Linked DNA regions of Oryzias latipes. The protein of the gene in region 1 purifies or fractionates together with the protein of each later gene. This does not show direct contact. Links are inferred from orthologs where the notes say so. Each region holds a gene or a part of one and is shown in the gene's direction. Other genes may lie near its edges.

The links.
Region 2: the proteins of abce1 (region 1) and oraov1 purify together in Homo sapiens (affinity purification with mass spectrometry; 4 studies listed by BioGRID and IntAct, with this or other methods). This does not show direct contact. The link is inferred for Oryzias latipes from reciprocal best matches to the Homo sapiens genes ABCE1 and LTO1.

What each region holds. Positions count from the first base shown.
Region 1 is NC_019876.2:3,198,210-3,202,347, forward strand, and holds the end of abce1 (ATP-binding cassette sub-family E member 1), read left to right. Parts: coding exon 1-49; intron 50-126; coding exon 127-223; intron 224-295; coding exon 296-385; intron 386-454; coding exon 455-576; intron 577-660; coding exon 661-785; intron 786-1,139; coding exon 1,140-1,236; intron 1,237-1,835; coding exon 1,836-1,895; intron 1,896-1,975; coding exon 1,976-2,034; intron 2,035-2,104; coding exon 2,105-2,215; intron 2,216-2,290; coding exon 2,291-2,433; intron 2,434-2,904; coding exon 2,905-3,027; intron 3,028-3,099; coding exon 3,100-3,211; intron 3,212-3,278; coding exon 3,279-3,326; 3' UTR 3,327-3,561; downstream 3,562-4,138. UniProt on the Homo sapiens protein: Nucleoside-triphosphatase (NTPase) involved in ribosome recycling by mediating ribosome disassembly. Able to hydrolyze ATP, GTP, UTP and CTP. Splits ribosomes into free 60S subunits and tRNA- and mRNA-bound 40S subunits.
Region 2 is NC_019861.2:4,835,293-4,839,568, forward strand, and holds the start of oraov1 (oral cancer-overexpressed protein 1), read left to right. Parts: upstream 1-1,211; 5' UTR 1,212-1,292; coding exon 1,293-1,420; intron 1,421-1,995; coding exon 1,996-2,101; intron 2,102-2,186; coding exon 2,187-2,257; intron 2,258-4,004; coding exon 4,005-4,125; intron 4,126-4,276. UniProt on the Homo sapiens protein: The complex LTO1:YAE1 functions as a target specific adapter that probably recruits apo-ABCE1 to the cytosolic iron-sulfur protein assembly (CIA) complex machinery. May be required for biogenesis of the large ribosomal subunit and initiation of translation.

The sequences.
Region 1 (4,138 bases):
GGCAGGAAGGACGACACAAACACACAAGACATCGTCTGCCAACAGCTGGGTAACGATGAACGCCTGTTCTGGGGAGCGTCTGGCGGTTCTTCGTCGGTTGACGTTGTAAGTCTGTTGCTGCTGCAGATCTGAGTCACCTGCGGGAGAGGAACGTGGAGGACCTGTCCGGAGGAGAGCTGCAGAGGTTTGCCTGCGCCGTCGTCTGCATCCAGAGGGCCGACATGTGAGTTCCTGGTTTCATCCTCATTTTCCCGCTCTTTGCTTTGATCTCACGGCCTCCGCTCTTCTGCCGCAGTTTCATGTTTGATGAGCCGTCCAGTTACCTGGATGTGAAGCAGAGGCTGAAGGCTGCCATCACCATCCGCTCCCTCATCACCCCAGACAGGTGAGGAACCAGCCGCCGCCTTTTCTCCTGGATCCTTTTCTTGTTCTTCAACGTCCTGTTCCATCTCAGGTACATCATTGTGGTGGAGCACGACCTGAGCGTGTTGGACTACCTGTCCGACTTCATCTGCTGTCTGTACGGAGTCCCCAGCGCCTACGGGGTCGTGACCATGCCCTTCAGCGTCCGAGAAGGTCAAGCTTAACTCAGACAGCGGAGGAGTGAAAGCCACGGCTGCAAAGTGTCCGATTCGCTCATTCACTCCGCTTCTCTTGCAGGTATCAACATCTTCCTGGACGGCTACGTTCCCACAGAGAACCTCAGGTTTCGGGAAACCTCATTGGTCTTTAAGGTGGCAGAAACGGCCAATGAAGAGGAAGTGAAAAGACTCAGACACTACCAGGTATGTGAGATTTGAATTTTTCTTTTGTTGTTGATATCCCGGACAAGCCTCCCAAAAATTGTTATTATCCCGGACAAGCCCCCCCAAAAACTGTTGCTGATATCCCGGACAAGCCCCTAAAAACTGTTGTTGATATCCCGGACAAGCCCCCCAAAACTGTTCTTGATATCCCGGACAAGCCCCCCAAAAATTGTTGTTATTATCCCGGACAAGCCCCTAAAAACTGTTGCTGATATCCCGGACAAGCCCCCAAAAACTGTCGTTGATATCCCGGATAAGCCCCCAAACCTCTAACTCTGTGCTGAATGTGAACATGACATTTCATTAATTTTCTGCCTCTGTTCTGGCGTTCAGTATCCAGACATGGTGAAGACGATGGGCGAGTTCACGCTGGCCATCAAAGGGGGAGAGTTCACGGACTCCGAGATCATGGTGATGCTGGGAGAGAATGGTGAGCCGCCCGGTTTTTTCGGCAGCTTCTGAGCCAAGAACCACAACTTTCTGACTCCAACCACTCAGCTTCTGAAGCAGCAACTCGTTTCTGAGTGCATGAAGTTTGGAGGCGGAGCTATCGTCACTTTAAAAAGCATTTTGTTTACATAAATAGAAGTCGGCGCGTCAGCGGCTTTGGAGTTCAGGGTTCATCCTCATTGAGGGCCGTTCAGCGGCTGTTTAACACGCAGACGACTCCTCAAAGACCAGATAAATGAAGCAAAACATGCTGATTTATGGAATAGGCGGAGTCATGGAGAACTCACAGGAGTAAAATGGCGTCTAAATTCACTCTAAAACACAATACCTTCTAAAAGCAGGATTCTTTTACAAGTAAACTAATGGGATGGTTACCTAATGCTTACAAAGTAACATGAGGAGCATCTTCCTGAGTGACCAGTTTGGGACTCAAACTTTAGACCAACATAGACGGTGTTTAACCCACTGAACCACAGACACAGAAAATGTAGCCAAACGCACTGTGGGGGGAGTCTCTGAGGCTGCCGCGGTTCTGGTTCTGTTCCTATTGGTCCTCTGGATCTTACATGATGTTTGCAGGAACGGGGAAGACCACCTTCATCCGGATGTTGGCCGGCGGACTCAAACCCGACAGTGGAGGTGAGTGTGCTCACAGACTGAGCCGCGCAGACAGGCTCTAAGCCGCGCAGGCGCGCTCTGACCTGCGCTCTGTCTCCTAGGCGAGGTTCCCATCCTGAACGTGAGCTACAAGCCTCAGACCATCAGCCCCAAGTTCAAGGTGAGAGCCGCTCAGTCGGTTACTTGCGTGGTCGTCTCAGAGGTGCCGACGCCGGTGTGTTTGTCCACAGGGCAGCGTCCGGGCGCTGCTACACGAGAAGATCCGGGACGCGTACACGCACCCGCAGTTCATCACCGACGTGATGAAGCCCATGCAGATCGAGAGCATCATCGACCAGGACGTAAGGCGCTCTGATGCCGACGCCGCACCGCTGCTCTGAGGCGCTTCTAAACGGGAAACCCCTCCCCCCCTGCAGGTGCAGAACCTCTCCGGCGGTGAGCTGCAGCGAGTCGCCCTCACGCTCTGTCTGGGGAAGCCGGCCGATGTTTACCTGGTCGACGAGCCGTCGGCGTACCTGGACTCCGAGCAGAGGTTGATGGCGGCCAGAGTCATCAAGAGGTGGAGCTTCTCTTCTATAGACCGAGGAAATGAAAGGATGTCAGAGTTTTCAGTGTTTTCGGTTGTAATTTACTGGAAAAACACCAAATTATACTGAAGAAAAACAAAAAAATATAATTTTAAATCTCTAAAATGTCAAACTGGTGTCGCCTTAAATTATAACTTCAGTTGTCAATGTGAGGGCCGTATTTCATCTAAAGTTGCTTTTAAGGTTGTTGTAAATTCTACTTGTTTTCTTTCCAATCAGAATTCTTTTACTTTTGTTTAAATTTTAATTTCTTTAAAAATGTCCAGAAAAACGGCATCATTTGTCGTCTTTTGTGTTTTCTGTACTGCTTCAGTCGAGCTACGGCTTCAGTTGGCCACCAGGTGTCCCTGTTGTTAGAACGAAGCTTCAAAGTTTTTAAGAACCTGCAGTTGCGCAGCCCGGCCTGTGTGGGGCGCCGTTTCTGATCTGACGTTTGTCGGCAGGTACATCCTCCACGCCAAGAAGACGGCGTTTGTGGTGGAGCACGACTTCATCATGGCGACGTACCTCGCCGACAGAGTCATCGTGTTCGACGGCATTCCCTCCAGGGAGACGCTGGCTAACACGTGAGGATCGTCCGCGCGGCGCGCTAACGTCCGGATGGTCGCCGTCTAACGGCCGTGTCTTTTCTCCGTCAGGCCTCAGGGTCTGCTGGCGGGGATGAACCGCTTCCTGTCGCTGCTGGAGATCACCTTCAGGAGGGACCCCAACAACTTTAGGCCGCGCATCAACAAGCTCAACTCCATCAAGGTTGGCGCCCGGCGGGATCCACGGTTCGTTTCTCCACACGATGCTAAATGTCTTTTGTTTCATCTAGGACACGGAACAGAAAAAGAGCGGGAACTATTTCTTCCTGGACGACTAAGACCCCGTCCCATGTGACCAACCGCGACTGCTCCTGAACGTCCGGCGCCGCGCCGGAACAGAAACCCATCAGCCTTTCGTGTTCCGGGCCGTTCATAGCCAGCATTGTTGTGACGTGTAACATGAAGAAGTGCATTATCACATCCTGTCCACGGGGGGGGGGGCGTCCGTCCGGGAGGCGGCCCCATCAAGGATCATCCACACATTTACATCGATAATAAATGGATGCTTCCCGACCTTTGGCCTCTTCTCTGCACAAACATTTAGACAAAAGCAAAACAAAAATCACCAGAAACCACAGTTTCCTGACTTATCAAGTGGTAGGGGTGTGGCCTTCCAATGAGTTCACTAGTGATTGGTGAGAGTGGTTGCCATAGAAACGTTGACCAACTCTGATGTTGTCTGGCGGCATCCAAATCGATAAAATGGCAACTGAATGGACTTCGTTTGGTCGGAGCCATAAGGAAACCGTTTTCGACGTCTCGCTCATCCTGTTCTCCAATACAGTCAATGATCTGGAGGCAGAGCGATTTGTACACACCCCTTTCCTGGAACTGATGATTGATTGGTCAACTGTCAATCAAGACAGAATGGGAAGGGGGGGGGGGTTAACCCTTGTGCTATCCTAGGCACTTTAAGATTGGTAGTAGGGTCATCTAGACCAAGGGTCCCCAAATCCAGGCCTCGAGGGCCAGTGGCCTGCTGGTTTTCCAGCAACCCTGCCTTACTTGCTGCTGATTACCTGGACCAGGTGTGTTTAGCCAATGAGGCGCTTCAATGGCAGGTTGGTTGGAATACATGTAGGACACTGGC
Region 2 (4,276 bases), on another chromosome or scaffold:
AAATTACTGTCATTACGGTAACTGATCTAAAAACATTTTCCATCTCCAGGATATCAGCTCTGTGTTCATCCAATCAGGCCCTGATAAAACACTGAGTAGTTAGGAATATGAAAGATCGTAAAATACTTCTTATCTGCAGTATTAACTGTTTTCTGTAAAGTCCCGCCCCTTTAACTGTCTCCACCAATCATTCTTGGAGGCTTAATCACATGTCATCAGTCTGACCAATCAGAAGTCGTTAAAGTCTTCAATTCCTTGTTCTGATTCTGCTCATAAAGTCGCTCGGTTCCAACAAAAATACCAGCTAAAGCTTGTCTTTAGCGGTGTATCTTTCCACTGAATCTGGTATCAGACCGTGGAACAAGTGAAGAAAAGAAGGAAGCTCAGAGACGCTAGTCTTTCTGCGCTTGGCGGCTGTTTACATCTCCCATGATGCATTGGGTTAAAGTGACAGCGTCTCAGCGCAAAGTGAGTCTCTCCTCTAAACGTCTTGTAACAACAACGAACACACATCAAACAGTTTTTGAATCTTTTAACTTAACTTTTATTTCATCAGATTTTTCTGCCACAATTGTCACAAAATGCATGTGAGATTGCAGAAGGACTTTAGATCAATATAGACTATGAGTTTCTCCTTTTTTTTTTTAAATTGAAAAATTTTTTTTGCTGGTGTGCCGCAGGATTTTTGTCAAGGTTAAAGTCTGCCGTGGCTCAAAAAAGGTTGAAAAACACTGGCCTAATGACATCTACTAGAATCTATAGTAGTATCAACTATAAGTCAATGTTCTAGAAAAAAATCAGTAGGCATTTAACTTTCTGTTGGTTTTCTAAGGGTTGTTTTACTACGTTTAGTAGAATGAATTTTAAAAATGCAGCTCATGGTTTTTGTGTGCCACCCAAGATTTAATGTGGCCCCCTACCGGCCACCCCCATGAAAACTTTCTGGAGGCGCCACTGGGCACTGGACATAATTATTGTTTTTATTGTTTTAGTATCATGTTTCAGTGTTATTATTTATCTGCGTTCTTTTAATTAGAGCTAGATCATTTCTCCTTTGTGGGGTATATTCTGTTCTATTCTATCTTAATTGAGACATTTTACAATGGTCTCTAACGGGCAAACTTGTATTACAGATTGACTCCAAACACTGTTCGTGTGTTTGCATGCAGTGAGTCCCGCTGTCCGGTAGGGGGCAGTGCTGCTCTGTACGTCCATAGTGAACACACTGTGTTGACATAGAAGAAGAGCAGCTGCGAGGATCTCCTGCCGTCAGCTCTTTAGTTGGCTGCAGAATGGAGATGCCTGGCGTCCACCCAGCGGATGATCTGTTTGACAGCATCATTTTAGCCGATGAAAAGCAAGTTTTCTGTATAAACGTTGTTTTATTGGTGGGGCACGCGCTTGACGGCTTAGAAACGTCGTCAGTGTAACATTTATACCTTTATTGTTACATTTTCTGTTCTCTTTTATGTTATTTTCACGATGTTTTCTATTTAAACCGTTTTTGCCTTTTTTTCTGTCGTAAGATGTTGAATAGAAACAAAAAGCATTTCTAAAAATCGTCAGAATGTGTTTGTTTTTCGACCGGTAAAACTTTTCACGATCGGGTGTGCTTTGCGCATGCGCTTAAGTTAACCGTGTGGTTACCGGGTAAACGCCACATTTTGGTAGTAAAAGAATTAGGATGCTCCCCATCAGTGCGTTTCTGGACAACATCTGGTGAAGTCCCCTCACCGGGTTCCGGTCTAACACCGGATGTGGGTTCCGCTGCACGGGGATCATGACCGTCTTCATTAACGCTGTTATTTTTAATTTGCTTTCTGTCCCTCCTCTCCTCCTTTTATTTTAAATTTCCTGCAGAAAACTCCAGTCAATAAAAGAACAGCATTTATTATTGTTTTTCTTTTGTGGTTCATTTATTTTTTTGGAAAGCTGTGGTTCAAATCCCAGGATGTCATGGGAGTAATGTAGGGTTTTCTGCTGACTGTTCTCCAGGTTTCGAGGTGAAGGTTACCAGGAGGGTTTTGAGAAGGGGACTCGCCGTGGTCTGCAGGACGGCCGCCGACACGGAGCCTCCCATGGAGCCAAGCTGTCCTCTGAGGTGAGTCCAGTTTTCGGTCCCCGTGACCGTCTGTCCAGCCTTACTCAGCTGCACCACGTCCTGATTGGATCGTCTCATGCCACAGATCTCCTTCTATTACGGTTTTGCCGTCACATGGAAGTGTCTCCTCCAGCAAAGCACAGATGACAAGTCAAGGTACGTTGCTCGGGGTGTTTCAGGAACTACAAGACGTTTATGAGTCACAGTCGTGTTGAGCGTTCATGTGAATCCAAATCAAGCGTTATTCATCAAAAGGCTCTTTTCACGCTTTGAACAACTCATAGCTTTACAGTTAAACCAAACAGACAAAAAAAGTAAATTAAAACCAACCCTTTATTCTAAAATATCTACAGAGCCTCAAAACTAAGAATCATTTTTTTTTAAAGAATTTAAAGTAGGAAAGTCATGAAATCACACCTTAATCAACTCAAAACAGCTGCAAGCCTTTAAAGAAGCCTCCATCTGAGTCAGAAGCTACACATCCACAGGCAAGACAGCCTTCTGTGCCATTCACCAGGAGGCCAGGCCATAAAAGGGATGAGGGTGCATGATGGGGCATGAAAATGACCCATTAGGTTCTGTGCGTTACACACCCTGTGAACGCCTGTAGAGTGTCCCGCTCCTGCTCCCTACAGTAGAGGGGGTGTTGTGTCATTGCAGGTGCTGGTATGTGTGTGTGGGTTTTCAAAGTGCTGTTGTCGTTGTGCTGCCGTCCTCTTTGCGTTGGACCCTCGTGTCCATGACGGATATTGTGTTTTCCTCGTCCTCCCCCCGAGTGAACAGTGTTTCCTGCAGCACACAGACTGTTGATAATCAGGGAGTTCTTTGGTTTGTTTGTTTTTTCATGTCGCGCTCGTACATTTTCCGTAACGTGAGTCTGCATGCGGTTGGTTGGTGCTGTTCTGATTCCTGTTGGGTCCAGGTGAAGAGTCGAAGCAAATGGTGAAGAAGCTGCTCATTCTAGTGGAGAGAGGATCGCCATAGTCAGGCTTTGTTTTTGCCTCCAGTCTTCTGTTAAGTAGAAAAAGGTGGATTTTACTACAAAACACGCCCACCGGAAGGGTTGTGTGAATAAAAGAATTATTTGTTTTTTAGTCCCTTGTACTTGGTGAGTTTTTTCTGAACTTGCAGTGAGTTTCTGGGTTCAGCAAACTCAGATAAGGATTTCCTCTTTCGTAACTCTTATGGTTCTTGTTCTAGCTGTTTGAAGTGATATTCTGTTTGTCCAAACGGGTTTTATTTTCTCCACTAGAACCTTTTATCTGTGACCAATCCATTGCTGTCCACAAGGGGGCGCAGGAAACCTCTTCATTAATTGAGTGGGAGAGCACTTGTTTTTGGGGTTATTCTGACTGTAGTTCTTATTTCCACATGAGCTTCTTCTGCTGTCTTGTTGCATTCTAGAGGACAAAGGGTGAGGCTACAGGGAGGTGGAGAAGGGCCACCCGTCCCGGATGAGCGGAGGAAGATGGAAGGATCTCTTGTGTTCTGGCTCAGTGTAGATGCAATGACTTCATAAACCTTTTTGTAAGGAAATGCTGAGGCCGAGAGTGGTCTGATGGCATTTACGGCTACTACGCAATTTTAGTTCTGCTGGTTCTGGATCTGGATCCAGAACAAGTTATCCACCTTCAGTCTCTGTGGTTTTGTAGGACTCTGCTAAACTTGCAGATTTGAAACCTTTGGTAAAAATACACACCAACCTTCTAAGGAATTAAACGGACAACAAAAACTGTTGGTTGGAACATGTGCAGTTTTCCATGTAGGTCGGGAATCCCTGGATTCTGAACATTGGTGCTGTGGTCGCCGCTCTGCGTCAGGCAGCATCCCGGACATTTCCCAGCATTGAAGGATTGTGTGGAGTTTGAGTTGAGGCCCGTTCCAGCTCAATGTGTTGTGTCAGCAGAAAGCGCGTGAAGGCCTTGGACGCCGTGCTGGCTTTGATCCAGAACTGTAACCTGGATGATCCACAGTCTGAAAAACTGCAAGATGAGACGGAGAAACTTCGAGCAAAGTTCAGACAGGTATCCCATTTCATCCTGAGTCTTTAATGGTTGCCTTGAAAATTCCTTCCATCTACGTTTCCACTCCTCTTGTACGCACTGCACGGATTTGTTAAAAAATGATTTTTTTTTCTGAAAAAATTCTTAATAAATGAATAAACCAAGTTTAGCT